2 linked regions of the Elephas maximus indicus genome follow. The protein of the gene in region 2 purifies or fractionates together with the protein of the main gene of each other region. This does not show direct contact. Links are inferred from orthologs where the notes say so. Each region holds a gene or a part of one and is shown on either strand. Other genes may lie near its edges.

The links. Proteins that work in one complex are often made in the same cells at the same time.
Region 1: the proteins of POLR2B (region 2) and POLR2M purify together in Homo sapiens (affinity purification with mass spectrometry; 3 studies listed by BioGRID and IntAct, counting the BioPlex papers as one, with this or other methods). This does not show direct contact. The link is inferred for Elephas maximus indicus from reciprocal best matches to the Homo sapiens genes POLR2B and POLR2M.

What each region holds. Positions count from the first base shown.
Region 1 is NC_064831.1:47,823,954-47,831,289, forward strand, and holds the start of POLR2M (protein GRINL1A), read left to right. Parts: upstream 1-4,252; 5' UTR 4,253-4,397; coding exon 4,398-4,510; intron 4,511-6,406; coding exon 6,407-7,054; intron 7,055-7,336.
Region 2 is NC_064823.1:104,050,909-104,058,246, reverse strand, and holds the start of POLR2B (DNA-directed RNA polymerase II subunit RPB2), read left to right. Parts: upstream 1-4,300; 5' UTR 4,301-4,402; coding exon 4,403-4,421; intron 4,422-7,338. Other genes in the region: NOA1 (nitric oxide-associated protein 1), read right to left, coding at 518-682, 2,459-3,608. UniProt on the Homo sapiens protein: Catalytic core component of RNA polymerase II (Pol II), a DNA-dependent RNA polymerase which synthesizes mRNA precursors and many functional non-coding RNAs using the four ribonucleoside triphosphates as substrates.

The DNA.
Region 1 (7,336 bases), on a different chromosome or scaffold from region 2:
TGGAAAGGGCTATGTGTCAGTTCTTCGGATTATCTGCCAGGACGCACAGCGAGGGTCTTTCCTTGCTGGGGCTGTCCCCCGACAGATGGGCATATGGGGTGGGAAGTTGAAAGGGGTGGAAGAGATTAGAGTGTAGAGAGGAGAAGGGGAAGAATTGAAAGGTATTAAAAACAAAACAAAACCTGTTGCTGTTGAATTAGCTCTCACTTATGGAGACCCCATGTGTTTTAGAGTAGAATTACACTTCATAATGTTTTCAATGGCTGTGATCTTTCAGAAGTTAATCACTAGGCCTTTCTTTCAAGTCACCTCTGGGTAGATTTTCCAACTGCCAACTTTCATTTAGTAGCCAAGTGCTTAACCATTTGTGGCAACTGGAAACTGAAAGGTATTTAGGCTCTAGGATTTAGTGACTTGTTGGGTTGAGGGAAAAAGAACAGCCCAGCATGAATGTGTAACTTCCAGGTTGGGCGACTAGGAATGAAAACAGGAAGAGTGGGTTGGGGAGGGAAATATAAATGAGTACAATTTGGGGCATGTTCAACCTGAGAAGCCTTTGAGATACTGGATAGTAAGGGCCTACTCAGTATAATTCTAGCCCCAGGACAAAGAGCCAAAAGACTCCTTTGCTGAAAAGCCTGGAGAGTTGGTGCCATGGACTTTAAGGTAGGAGAGAGTTTTAGGAAGGAGAAAGTTGTCAACATAGTCAGGTGCAGGAAGGAAGATAAAGACTAAAACCTGTTCCTTGGATTTGAGGCCCTGGAGGAGATTGATGGCTCTGGCAAGAGCGGTGAAGTGGAGTCAAAGAGAGTAGACAATTCTTTTGGAATCTGCTCTCTGAAAATGGAAGAGAGGGTGGAAGCTAGAGGGGGATGTTTAACAGCTTTTTGGAGTTTAACTGACACATTCTTCACTGTACATAGTTAAAGTGTATAACTTGATAAGTCGATTCATTTGACTTATCAAATATATACCCATATAACCATCATCACAATCAAGATAATGAGAACATCCATCCTGCCCAAAAGTTTCCTCCTGTCCTCTTGGACTCCCTCCCCCAACTTCTCCCTGCCACCCCACATCCTGAGGTGATCACCAATCTGCTTTCTGTCACTGTAGATTAGTATTCATTTTAAATAATTTTATATAAATGGAACCATACAGTATACACTCATATTTTTCTGACTTATTTCACTCAATATAATTATTTTGAGATTCATCAAAGTTGGTGCATGTGCCATAGTTTTCCATTGTATGGATAGACCGAAATTGGTTTATCCATTCGCCAGCTGATAGACATTTGGGTTGTTTATATTTTTTGGATATTCCAAATATAGCTACTATGAACATTTATGTACAAGTCTTGGTGTGGACATATGCTTTCATTTCTCCTGGATAAATACCTAGCAAATGAGTGACTGGGTCATATGGTAGATGTTAAGTTTAACTTTTTAAGAAACTGCCAAACTGTTTTCCAAAGTGGTTGCACCATTTTATAGTTCCACCAGCAACGTATAAGAGTTTCAGTTGCTTCACAGCCTTGCCAACACCTGACATCATCAGTCTTTCTGATAAGTGTACAGTAGTATCTCATTGTATTTTTTATGCATATTTTCCTAATGGTTAGTAATGTGGAACACATTATTGTGCTTATTTTTCATCTGAACATTTTCTTTGGTGAAATGTCTGTTCAAATCTTTTATAACCTAATGTTGGAAGTGATATCCCATGACTTCTGCTGTATTCTATTTGTTAGAAGAGAGTAAGGGCAGCCCACACTCAATGGGAAGGGATTACATAAAGGTGGAATCATTGGGAACCATCCTAGAGGCTGCCTACCACAAATGGCTTAGAATAAAATCCCAACTCCATATCTTGATCGACAAAGCCCCATGGGATCTAGCTCCAGCCTTCCACACTGGCCTTCTTTTTCTGCTTTGAGCCAAGATTTATAATTGGCGAGGGGAGAAGGGATAGCCTTCTACAAGGGGAAACTGGCAGGGGACAAAATTCTGTGGCCTGAAAGAAAGGCATCCTTGCCATGGAAACGGTAGCCCAGGATCAGAGTATGGGGGTTCTCTACTGTGGCGGGGGGGGGGGGGGGCAGGGGCAGGGAAAAGACCTCCAGCTGCAACCTAGAGGAGGGATGAGGGAGGCCTTAGAGGAACTTGCCGAGTGACTAGGACCTCATTTGGGGACTTTAATCTGAGTTATTTCTTATTTAGCCACAGCTGGAGCCCTGGTGGCGCAGTGGCTGAGAGCTTGGCTGCTAACCAAAAGGTTGACAGTTCAAATCCACCAGTTGCACCTTGGAAACCCTAAGGGGCAGTTCTACCCTGACCTTTTAGGGTCACTGTAAGTTAACATCAACTCGATGGCAACGGGTTAGGTTTTTTTTTTTTTTTTTTTTTGGAGCGGGTTACTGAAGTTCTTGAAAGCAGGCAATTTCTTTTGATATATTAGTTAATCTGATCAGATGGACTAGATTGGGGTAGATACAGAAAAGTCTGCAACTACACTCCTGGGAGTAGCTCCAGATTTTATCTAGAGTGTTTGTCGGTCTGGTTGGTGGGGAGCTGCTTTGTGTTTATATAGCAACTTACACAATTTTTTTTCCTTTTTATCATTTATATTTGGTTTTTATTAGTTTTTTTTTTTAGTTTTGTTGTGGCTTTAGGTGGAAGTTTACAGCTCAAGTTTGTTTCTCATTCAAAAATTTATACACATATTCTTTTGTGACATTGGATGCAATCCCTGCAATGGTGCCTGACATGGTTTTGAGAAAGCTTCAATTTTCCGTATCAAAGAACAGGAAGAGTGCTGGAGCCCATGGGCATGTTCAAGCCTCCAAAGCCACATCTCCTATGAGGCTTGCAAGCTTCTTACACTTTCTTTCAGGAGACAGCTCTACGAGCTGAACTCTAAAGAGAAAGTGGGAGCTGGGTGTGATGCCTTTTACATTGCCTTCCTCTTCAAACAAACAAAACGATTTTGTTTTGTTTTGTTTTGTTTACCAATTTTATACATTTGGAAATAGGCCTGAAACGAAGAAAAGCATTTCTGAGTTGCATGTTGGAAAGAGCAGCTGAGCATTTGGGTTTGAAATCTGAGGCTATCACTTACTGGTTCTGTGCCCCGGGAATATTCACATCAGGTTTTGTACCTCTGTATTTCCATCAGCAAAATAGTAAGTTGTGAAAGAGAGATTCTCAGCCAGCTGTACACCTCCTACTGACATCCTCAACTCTTGTGAACCTTTGGGAATGGTGGGGTGTTTTGGGTTGTTATGATGACTTGCAAGTGTCATGGCAACTAGTCAGCAGAAGCCAGACACCAAATGGCCTAGAGCAATAACTGGGGAACCTTTCAACTTTAACGTTAACATCTAGGACCTCGCTAAGCCTTAGGGTAGGAGGAATCACACCGTAGGCCAAAAAACCAAACAGGCTGCTGTTGACTCATGATGATCCCAGGTGTTACAGAGTAGAACTCTTCCACAGGGTAATGGAAAGGAGTCCTAGTTGTGCAACGGTTAAGTGCCTGGGTGCTAACTGAAAGGTCAGCAGTTTGCCCTCCTTGGGAGAAAAGGCCTGGTGGTCTGCTCTGTAAAGATTACAGCTTAAGAAACTGTCCTATGGGACAGTTTTACTGTGTCATATAGGATTGCTACGAATCCCAATCACCTCGATGGCACAAAGCGGACTGCCAGGCCTTTCCTCCGTGGTGCCGCTGAGTGCGTTCAAACCAACAACCTTTAGTAGTCCAGCGCAAACGGTCTGCGCCACCCAGCAGTAATGACTGTCTTATGTGTTTCATTTCTCCAGGTTTGAACATAAATTTCATTGCTCAGGGATACCTTCTCTAAGTCCATCCCAATCTCGCTGTCATACTGTGTTACTATTTGGTTTTCTGCCCCCCTCCACGATGCTGTAAATTCCATAAGCGCAGGGGCTTCTCCTGTGAGGCTTGCAGGCTTCTACTTTCGGTGGCGATTTGTTCATTAACATACGCTGGGTAGTGACGTCACGGCGGCACTCAACTACTTTCCGAAGAAATAGATTAAAAAATACGACTAGACGACCCTAAAGAACCTAGAACCTAGCGCCGTCGAATCAATCCCGAAAAACAGGCGCGAAAAAAAGCCCTTCCGGCCGCTGAAGTTAGCCCCGTCACTTCCGCCCTCTCCCGCTCCTCCCGGCGGCCCCTTCGCTCGGTCTGTGTTTGTTTCCGCTGTGTCAATAAAGTTCGATTCGCCTCGAAGAAGCCCCGTTCTTCCGGGAAAATGGCGTCCCCCGCTCGCGCCCCAGAGTCGTCGCCGCCTGCGGATCCGGCGCTAGCGGCGGGGGCTGCCGAGGGAGCCGAGTGCCCGCCGCCTCGCCAGCCGCAGCCCCCGTACAATGTCCTCGCTGGCCCGCGGCTTCGAGCCCCTAGCTCCCGAGGACTGGGGGCGGCGGAGTTTGGCGGAGCTGCGGGAGATGTTGAAGCGCCAGGAGAGACTTTTGCGCAACGAGTAAGCTTGGGTCCCGCCGAACCAACTCCGGGATCCCGCGGTTCGGGCCCCCCGGGAAGCTCCCCTCCCTTTCCTCTCATCCGTTCCTTCTCTGAAGGTGACCTTGCCGAGCCGGCTTCGTGTCAGCCCCGCGGCGATGGACGGCCTGTGGCTGGCCGTCGCGGGGTCTCGATGGTGCTCGCCTGCTGGCCCGCCGTAGCCACTGGGCTGCTCTGGGACGCTCAGCCGGTTGAATTTCCTTAGCTACTGTGGCGGTTCCACGAAGGGTGTGTGCCACAGCCCCATTTATATGCCCCCCTCCCGCATACAGTGCCAAATACGGTGACGGCTCAGCACCATGTCAGTTTCCCTGGCAGACCCTGTTCTTGTGGGAACCGTAGGAAATGGGAAGAGTCGGATATAAAGAGTGGTTTATTAGGCCGAGGAAGTTTGACTCACGTTCGGATTTAACGGGTTTTAGTAGAGGGGTGATATAATAAAAATTAAAAGTGACTTTTTTTTAGGAGTTTAATTTAGTAGCAGGAGGGTTTGAAGGAGTCTGAGGCAGAAGACAGGATATTTTTAGGTGGGTTTCCAACAAGGGGTCGTAAGAACGTGAACTAGGAAGGTGGCTGCGGAGTAATTTGAATAAGTAGTTGACAGAGGTGATTGAAGTTCCCAGCCTGCTGCGAGAGCCATTAACAAAACTAGGGGAATTGGGGAGGGAAATAGGCTCGAGGTTGAATTGGGGCAGGGGAATAGGCCAGAGATTGACTTTTGCTAAGTTTAGGATATGGCAGGATAGACATCGGGCTAATTATGACTACTTAAAAGCTAGAGAAGTGGTTGTTAAACTTAGGGAAGAGAAGGCTGGAAAAAATACAGGAATCTCAACTGCAGAGAGGAGCTCTGGTGGCACAATAGTTAAGAGCTTGGCAGCTGACCAGAAGGTCACTAGCTCCAGTCCACCAGCCACTCCTTGGAAATGCCATGGGGCAGTTTTACTATGCACTAATAGGGGCACCATGGACGCGGACACATAGCAGCTACCACAGAGCTGCAGAGAGGTGCTAATGGTTGACACTATGGGAATGATTGTGTGTCAGAGAAAGACTAGAGGGCCTAAGATGTAATTTTGGTGAGCTTTCTGTCCCCGTTTATTGTGTGGCTATAGAAAAAGAAATCTGAAAAGGGAATTCTGCTACCCAGCAGAGGGGGCAAATAGTTACTTGGGTGTCTTGACTTGGCGAGGTTGGAATTTTATCTGTAGCAGCAAATTGTCTCAACTTTTTGGTCTCAGGGCCCCTTTATACACTTAAAATTATTGAGGATCCAGAAACGCTTTTGTTTATGAGGGTTATGTCGATAAGTATTTATTGATTTATTAGAAATTGCAACTGAGAAATCTTTAAAAACAAGGATATGTAAGCACACATTCCATTGAGCCTCCAGAGCAGTGGTGCCCTACATCAGGGTATCCTCTGGGAAACTCCACTGTACCCATGTGAGAAAAAGTGCGTGAGAAAGGCAGTACTATCTGAGTACTCTTATGAAAGTAGTTTTGACCTCGCAGACCTTTCCCCTTTCTCCCCAAGAGGCTCTTGAGGACCATACTTACAAAACTGTTGATCTGTTGGGACGTCATGTATGATTATTACATGCTTAAATGTGTTTACTAAGTTCTCATTGGATGAGACAAATGAGGCATATTCCTTGTTCTTGTACTGCCTTGATTATTGGGGTGTTTGGATAATGATTACCTTAATTGGTTTCATTCCCGTTTCCGGGCAGTTGAAAATCAGATTTTGATTTAAAAACCAGCTTTTCTCCCTTTGAGGATAATGCTTTGTCGTTTTAATTTTCTCTGAAGTTTGAAAACATGGCTCTAATGTATGCATGTTCTTTTCCATTTGACAGAAAATTCATTTGCAAATTGCCCGACAAAGGTAAAAAGATCTTAGACTCTGTTGCCAAACTGAAAGTGGCCGTTGCAGAACGTGAAGAGTTCAGAGGAAAAAGTCAACTCTTTCATCCTGTTAGGTTAGACTGTACAGTAAGGCAAACAGTGACCGCAGGAGTTGATGTGGACACAGCTAAGGCTCAGAATTCTGACCAGATACTTCATACTTCACCACCAGTTCCTGGCTCCTCCTCTGTAGATAACAGCAAGTCATCTAAAACAGCTTCACCAAAGCAGGGACTTGTACATCTCTTTCACAAAGGCAGTGAAGAGACTGCAGAAGCAGAGGGCATAGTGAACGGGCGCACAGCTCCTAGCAGCGGAGCCAGTGCCGCTTCCTTATCTGAAGCCAGCAAGTGTCTCCCACAGCATCTTGTTTCAAGACAAGCAGAAGATAGTTCCAGCAGCTCCGACAACCTGATTGTTGATAGGTTACAAAGGATCACAATCGCAGACCCAGGGGAGCACCGCTCAAGGGAAAACACAAGTACCGATAACTTGACAGGCCCTCGTAGTGGGGCCCAGAAGAAGCCACATTACATGGAAGTGCTAGAAGTGCGAGCCCAAAACCCAGTGCCCCCACCACATAAATTTAAAACAAATGTGTAAGTACCACTGGAATGGGTCTATCACAGAGCATTTGTTAAAGAACATAGTGTTAGTTAAGACTAAAAAAAAAAAAAAAAAAAAATTCCATGGGCTTTGTGTGAGAGCTGCTTGTACTTAGGAATAAACGTGTTTGGAAAACAACAGCCTGGCTGGAGTGGAGGAATCATGTTAAAAAACACTTAAGTGCTTTAGCCAAATAATTGAAAAGGTTTTAAATGACAGATGGGGGAATATTCAATTTCAGGATACTTAATCAGTATTTAACAGTAAAACAGAAA
Region 2 (7,338 bases):
GTTACTAATGTTAACTACAATCTATGGAAATAAGACCACGATACCAACTTTGCTTTTTTCCCCAAAGGCAGTGGGAGTCAGACTGTTGCAATGATCAAGTGTACAACTGGCTGTGTAGTGTTGGGGGTAGTGTGGTGTTGGAAATCAAACTGTTTTTATTAATGAAAGGCTGGAAACAGATACCAAGAAAAGGAGGACAGATTAATTTAAAGCTGCTGCAGGGAATCACCTTCACTACCTGTAATGGTCTGCATTGAATAGGGTGCCTCCTGAGGAAATGTTTCTACTGCTGACAATGGCTAGGGCAGCAGCTATTGCATGGTTTCTTTTCTGGACTCCTCCAAGTAACTATGGTCCCAGCGTACTAACCTCTGGGTTTCCAAAGAGAAGCTTTGCATCTGAAGGGCTTCTATTTTCTCCACAAAAACTAGCTAGCCCACGACAGCTGTATTTCAGGTGGCACTCCGAAGAATTTTAGCACAGAACCAACAACAGCTTTCCTACGGAAGATGCTTACCTACTACATAACCATGCTTTTTCAAGAGATTAAGTTGATTTTGTTCTTGCTCTGTAAGATCTTCTTCAGCTTTTCTTGCATCTTTTTTAAGCCTCTTTTGCCTTTCAAACATTCTATAAGGCGTTGGGTTGCAAATAGGAAACTTCAGAAGGTTTAATGTAGTACCTAAAATACCAAAGAATAAGTGGGCTTTTATAAATGCTGTACCAAAAAAAAAAAAAAGAAACGCGCGGGGCGGGGAACGACTAACATTTTTGAAGAGTTACACTGTGTTGGATACCGTGATTTATCTCACTTAAGCTTTGTGATAACCCTCTATAAAATTATTCCCATTTTACAGATGAAAAAACAGGCTCAGATTGGCTCAGGATTTGAATCCAAAATTTGCAGATCTGATTTCTTTCCATATTCACCATGCATAGAAGCACTTTCCTGTATAATTCAACCAAAGTTCAAAGCAGAAAGAAAACCAAAGACACAAAGAAAATATTAGCCCAAAAGATCAATGGACCAAATGAACCACACACAGCCTCCACTAGCCTGAGCTCAGAACTAGATGGTGCCGGGTTACCACCACCAGCCACTCTGACAGAGATCACAATAGCGTCCTGGACAGAGCAAGAGAAAAATGTAGGACAAAATTCAAGTTCACACAAAAAAGACCAGACTTACTGGTCTCACAGAGACTGGAGGAGCCCCCGAGACTATGGCCCCCAGAAACCCTGCTAACTCAGAACTGAAGCCACTTCCGAACTCCAACTTCCAGACAAAGATTAGACAGGCCTAAATAACAATTTTTTTTTTGTTCAATCAAGTATACCAGACCAAATGGGCAACTAGTGCCCAAAAGCAAGATGAGAAGGCAGAAAAGGATGGGAAAACTGGACAAATGGACACAGGGAACCCGGGGTGGAAAGGGGGAGTATGCTGTCACATTGTGGGGACTACAACCAACATTACAAAATGATTTGTGTATAAATTTTTGAATGAGAAATTAATTTGTGCTGTAAACCCTCACCTAAAGCACAATACAACAAAACAAAACCAAAACAATAAAGTTCAAGGCCGAGAAAGAAAAAAGCTTGCCAAAGCTCAATTCTAGTTTCAAAGGAAAAACTGGGACAGTTAGTACCCACAAAAGATTAAACCAAAAAAACAAACAAAAAAACTCCACCAAACCTGTTGCCTTTTCAGTCGATTCTGACTCATAGTGACCCTATTGCCAACTGTTAAATACTAACAGGGTCACGTTGTTGTTACGTGCCTTCAAGTAGGTTCCGACTCATAGCGACCCCACAGGAGAACTGCCCCATAGGGTTTCCAAGGAGCGGCTGGTAGATTTGAACTGCCAACCCTTCGACTAGTGGCCTAGCTCTTATCCATTGCGCCACGAGGCCTCCAACAGGCTCATAGAATGACCCATTTTTCGATTACAGAAACTTCTTAAAGCCACAAAATCGACATTTCTTCTAGACAGAGCCACACATCATATTGCTTCACTGAATTTTTCAAAATGTGAAATGTGTGTATAGCACACTTCACATTTGTATGAATAAACTCAAGATATGAGAAGTAGGACTGAAGGGTGTAAGTTCAGAGCATAAAAGGAAACATAACGTTTCAGAGAAACACACAAAGAAGTTACAAGGGAAACCTCCAAGACAGCAGGAACTTTGTATCTCCAGTGCCTAGAACAGTGACCGGCACATAGAAACGCTCCATAAATAGTTCTATTACAAAATTACTACAATGCATACAGATTGTCCAAGCACTAAGATGACTCAGAAAAGAGACCTGTGACCAAAGTTGGGAAAGAATTTCTAAAGGGAAAACTGTAAGCACCTCCTGGTGGACATTACAAATGCTGTACTAGACGCCTGGGGTCACGACCAGAAGTCCAACTTCTCAAAAACCGAAAGGGGCGAGCCTCGTACGGCTCACCTGGCCAGGTGGAGATGGTGGCCCTGTCGATGGCCTCGGCGCCCTTGGCGATGCAGTAGTCGGATTCTAGGAGTGTGTTGAAGAGAGTGGACTTGCCGGCGTTGGTGGCGCCCACCAGGTAGACGTCACCACGGTAGCGCCAGGAGCGCTGAAGCGCGGAGATCAACTCTTCGACCCCGTAACCGGTTTTGGCGCTTATCAGCCGCACGTCCCTGAGTACCGTGCGGGGCTTGGCCGACGGATTCGGATTTTCCTCCGGGTCCCCAGGGCCGTCTCCGCCGGGGCCCTGTGGCCCTCGGTACCTACGAGGCGGCAGGAGGCCGGCGCGGGCACAGTCGTTCCACAGCCGCTCCCGGAGCCGGCGCCGGTAGCCGGGGGCGTCCTGGGGCAGCAGGTCCACCTTGTTCCCCAGCACGATCAGTTGTTTGGGGCCCACCAGCGCCGGCAGGTCGGGCAGCAGGGCGTCGGGCAGGTCGAGCAGGTCCACCATGTAGAGCACCAGTGCGGGACCCGGCCGTCGGAGCGCGGAGCTCACGAGCTCCCGGTACTGCTCGCGGCTCACCTGCACGCGCAGAGCGCGCCGGTGGTGCACCAGCAGCCAGCAGCGCTGGCACACGGTCCGCGCCAGCCCGCCGTCGGCCTGCGCCGCGGCGCTGAGGAACTTCTCGCTGGGCAGGTAGCCGGGCACGTCGGGGTTCTGGCAGTGCAGCTCCGCCCCGCAGCCTGAGCAGTTCACGCCGCTGGGCGGCACCGCCGCGTCTGGGTGCCCTACGATCGGGTGCACCCGGCGGCTGACCCGTAGCTTCTGCTGGCGTCGCTCCTCCCGCCGCTGCTGCTTCTCTCGCTCCTCCTCCTCCTGCCGCTGCAGCTGCTGCTGCAGCTCCTCTTCGGGGGTCGGCGCGGGCTCCGGCTCCGCGACGTACTCAGGGAACAGAAATTGCTCCTCCATGTCAGTCCTTCCTCCGTAGCCCCCAGTCGCCGTCGGGCCATAAGAAAGCCCACGTCCCAGGCCGGAGGGGTGCTGGAAGGAGTAGGCGGCCGCGTATCCTCTCTCGAGCAGCGGCTCCCGGAGGCCATGGCGCACTACCACAGGAGCTGAGGCCCGCAACAACGAGAGGAACAACTCACGGGTTAGGCGTGCGGGCAGCATGAGAAACGCGGCACCTGGGCAAAAGGGCGGAGCCACCTCCGCACATGCGCACTCGGGACCGAGGCGCGAGGCAAACGCGAGTCGAAAACCCCGGGGTGTCTGGGAGCTATCATTCTGGCTCCTCCTCCCGTTTTGAATTCCGTGAGTTCTCGCGATTGGAAGGCTTTGAGGCCACGAATCTGGGACCTAAATACTCACTTAGCTGCCACAAGAGGATAGTGCATGCTTTGAACTATTCAGATTCCTTCAACGCTCCACCGCTAGCATACCCTGCTCTTAATAAATTACATTTTAAAAGCTTGCGTGTTTTTTGGTCTTCAGAAGTGCAGAAAATAAAACGAGTGTCGCAGAAGCAGGGCCGCAACGAAAGCCTTTTATTAATAACACTTTTTAAATTAATACACCTTGGCTAAAAAAAAAAATCATTATTTGCGCAACAACACTCAGAGTGTGCACACAATAAAAAAAAACCTGCACTGGCCGAATACCCTCAAACAGTACGAGGAGTTCTAGCGAACAGCCACTAGAGGCGTCGTGTCAGAATTTGCGCGTGCGTAAAGCCAACCCTAGCCAACATGCTCTATCATTTGCGCAAGCGCAGTTCTAATATTTGCTTCTTTGTGGGTGGCTTTTTTTGGTGTTTTTTTTTTTTTTTTTGGTGTAAGACGCACAGTATTCTGGGAACGCCGGAGACGGAAATTACTTCGACGCGCTCTCCGGGAGCTGGCGGCTGCTTCGCTCTTTTCTGTCTCTCTAGATTTCAAGAGCTAGGCGCTCCGGTACCTTTTGCCAATATGTATGACGCGGACGAGGGTAGGTGACCACTCAAATCTCACTCCGCGGCGACCCAGTTAGGGTGGGGAATTTGGGTAACTGGACGGATTGAGGATTTGTGGCCGACCCCCGCCAGCCGCACAAGTGTCCCCGGTTGTGGTCCTCGCATACTACAGGCCGAGAACGAAGCCAGGTTGCGAGAGGTGGAGGGTGCAGGGAACGTGACGTTGAAGTTCCTAGTCAAATGACTGTTATTCTCTTCTCCCTCTCTATTCTCTATCCTGTTAATTGTGCTATTTACCTGCGGTATTGCAAAAACGTACAGAACCGTAAGACAAATATGGTTGTTTTGACTTGATCTGAAGCAAAGTGCTCTTTTCTTGATTTCCCTTAGGGCCACAGTTAGTGGTTTTATCGACTAGTTCAATTAATGAGCGTCACCCTTGTGCCAGGCATTGTGCTGTTGTTGTCATTAGGTGCCGTGAGGGTCTTCCTCTTTTTTGCTGACCCTCTACCAAGCATGATGTACTTCAGGGACTGGTCCCTTGTTTTAACATGTCCAAGGTACATGAGGCGAAGTCTCACCATCCTCGTTTCTAAGGAGCATTCCGGCTGTACTTACTCCGAGTCAGATTTGTTCCAACTTCTGGCAGTCCGTGGTATATTCAGTATTCTTCGCCAATACCGTAGTTCAAAGGCATCAGTTCTTCTTGGGTCTTCATTCATTGTCGAGCTTTCACATGCATACTTGATGGAAAATACCGTGGCTTGGATCAGCCGCATCTTAGTCCTCAAGGTGACAGCTTTGCTTTTAAATACTTTAAAGAGGTCTTTTGCAGCAGATTAGTACAGTACGTCGTTTGATTTCTTGACTGCTGCTTCCATGTGCATTGATTCTGGATCCATGTAAAATGAACTCCGTGACTTCAGTATTTTTTCTGTTTATCATGATGTTGTTTATTGGTACAGTTGTGAGGATTTTTGTTTTCTTTGTATCGAGGTGTAATCTATACTGAAGGCTGTGGTCTTTGACCTTCACCAGTAAAGTGCTTCAAATCCTCTTCACTTTCAGAAAGCAAGGTTGTGTCATCCGCATATCGCAGCTTGTTAGTGAGTCTTCCACCAATCCTGATGCCACTTTCCTCTTCATATAATCCAGCGTTTCAGATTGTTTGCTCAGCATACATATTGAATGAGTATGATGAAAGGATACAACCCTGACGCACACCTTTCTTGACTTTAAACCACCCAGTATCCCCTTGTTCTGTTCTAACGACTGCCTCTTGGTCTAAGTACAGGTTCCTCATGAGCACAATAAAGCGTCCTGGAATTCCCATTCTTCACGGTGTTATCCATAATTTGTTATGATGCACACAGTCGAATACCTTTGCACAGTTAATAAAACACAGGTAAACATATTTCTGGTATTGTTTCTGTCAACCAAAATTCCTTTGACTTCAGCAATGGTATTCCTTGTTCCATGTCCTCTTCTGAATCTGGCTTGAATTTCTGACATCGTGCTAGGCCCTGGAAATACACTGGAGAAGGGGTTGATCTAGTTTGGCATTCCTCATGCTGTCTTAAGTCTAAGCAAATTGTCTTAAAAGATGGCTTTTAAACTTACTCTTCCCACAAGGAATTGTAGTAATTGTTCTTGCTTGATAATACGTTTTACTGAACAGGTGGAACGTATCCTTTTTCTTTTTGTATAAAGAATTTTTAATCATGTCTAGTGTATTTTCATGTTGTGTTTTTAAAGCTCCCTCTTCGATTGCCTACAGTTACTATTTCAAACTTCATTCTCCTCCAGCTCCTTATCCTATGGTCACTGCTTGCTTTTCTTGTCATTCTGTTAGCTACTTCACGGAGAAAATAGAAACGGAAAGTTAAAACTCTGCTGTAATGATTCTGTCTGATTCATATCTTTTGTCTAGAAGTTCATCAGCATCTTTACATTTCTTTTTCTTCTTAACTTTATCTCAGAAGAAAATTTTAAAGTTTTAAGTTTTTGAGTAGGTACTGTATTCTCATGGCTCACCAGCTAGAAATTACAAACACTTTAAAGTGCCTGTTCTCATTCTTGTTTACCATCTGTCTACTTTAATCCCTTCCACAAATGAGTAATCACTCTTTTTAGATTCTTACTTATTACTCCAGAATTTCTTTTATGCATATTTAAGCAAATACAAATGAGATTCTGTGGGGCAGCTTTGTTCAGTCCTGTAGGGTTGCAATGAGTCAGAATTGACTCAACATAACAGGTTTTTATTTTTCCCCCTTTTACAAATAGAAGCTAATATTCACACTTCTCTGCACTTTTATTTTTTGCTTAATAAATTTAGGAGATTTTCTATTAGTATATAGAAAGCCTCGTTTTTCTACCATAGTTAACCTAGTTTGTATGGATATCTGTAACTTAATTAGGTAGTGTCTTGTTGATGGACATTGGTTATTTCCAGTCTTTTTCTAGTTCAAACAGTGGTTCATAATCTTGTACATATGTTTTTTTTCCCACGTACAAGTATGTCTCGAATAAATTCCTGGGTATAGAATTGTTGGTTCAAATGTTAGACACATTTAACATTTTGATAGATGGTGCTAAGTGACCGCCAAGGTAATTGTACAATTTTACATTCTTATTAGCGATGTATAATAATAATGCCTGTGGAAAAAGAGTTAAAGTTATCATGTTCATGAATGCTCTAGGATTGAGTACATTCCATTCACGTCTGTGCCCTTTGAAATCTGTTAGACACCATCTTATCAGTTTTCAGACACTACTTTTCATCTGGTTTCTGTGTAAAATATTAGATGTCATTCACAGGATACACCATTCACAGTTAAACCCTCTTTTCACTGTTTTCTTTTTTTTTCTCCCGGTATTTTTGTCTTCCTCTTTCCATTCATAGCCACGCTTACTAAAAGGAACAGGCTCTGCATGTTTCCAATTCCTGTC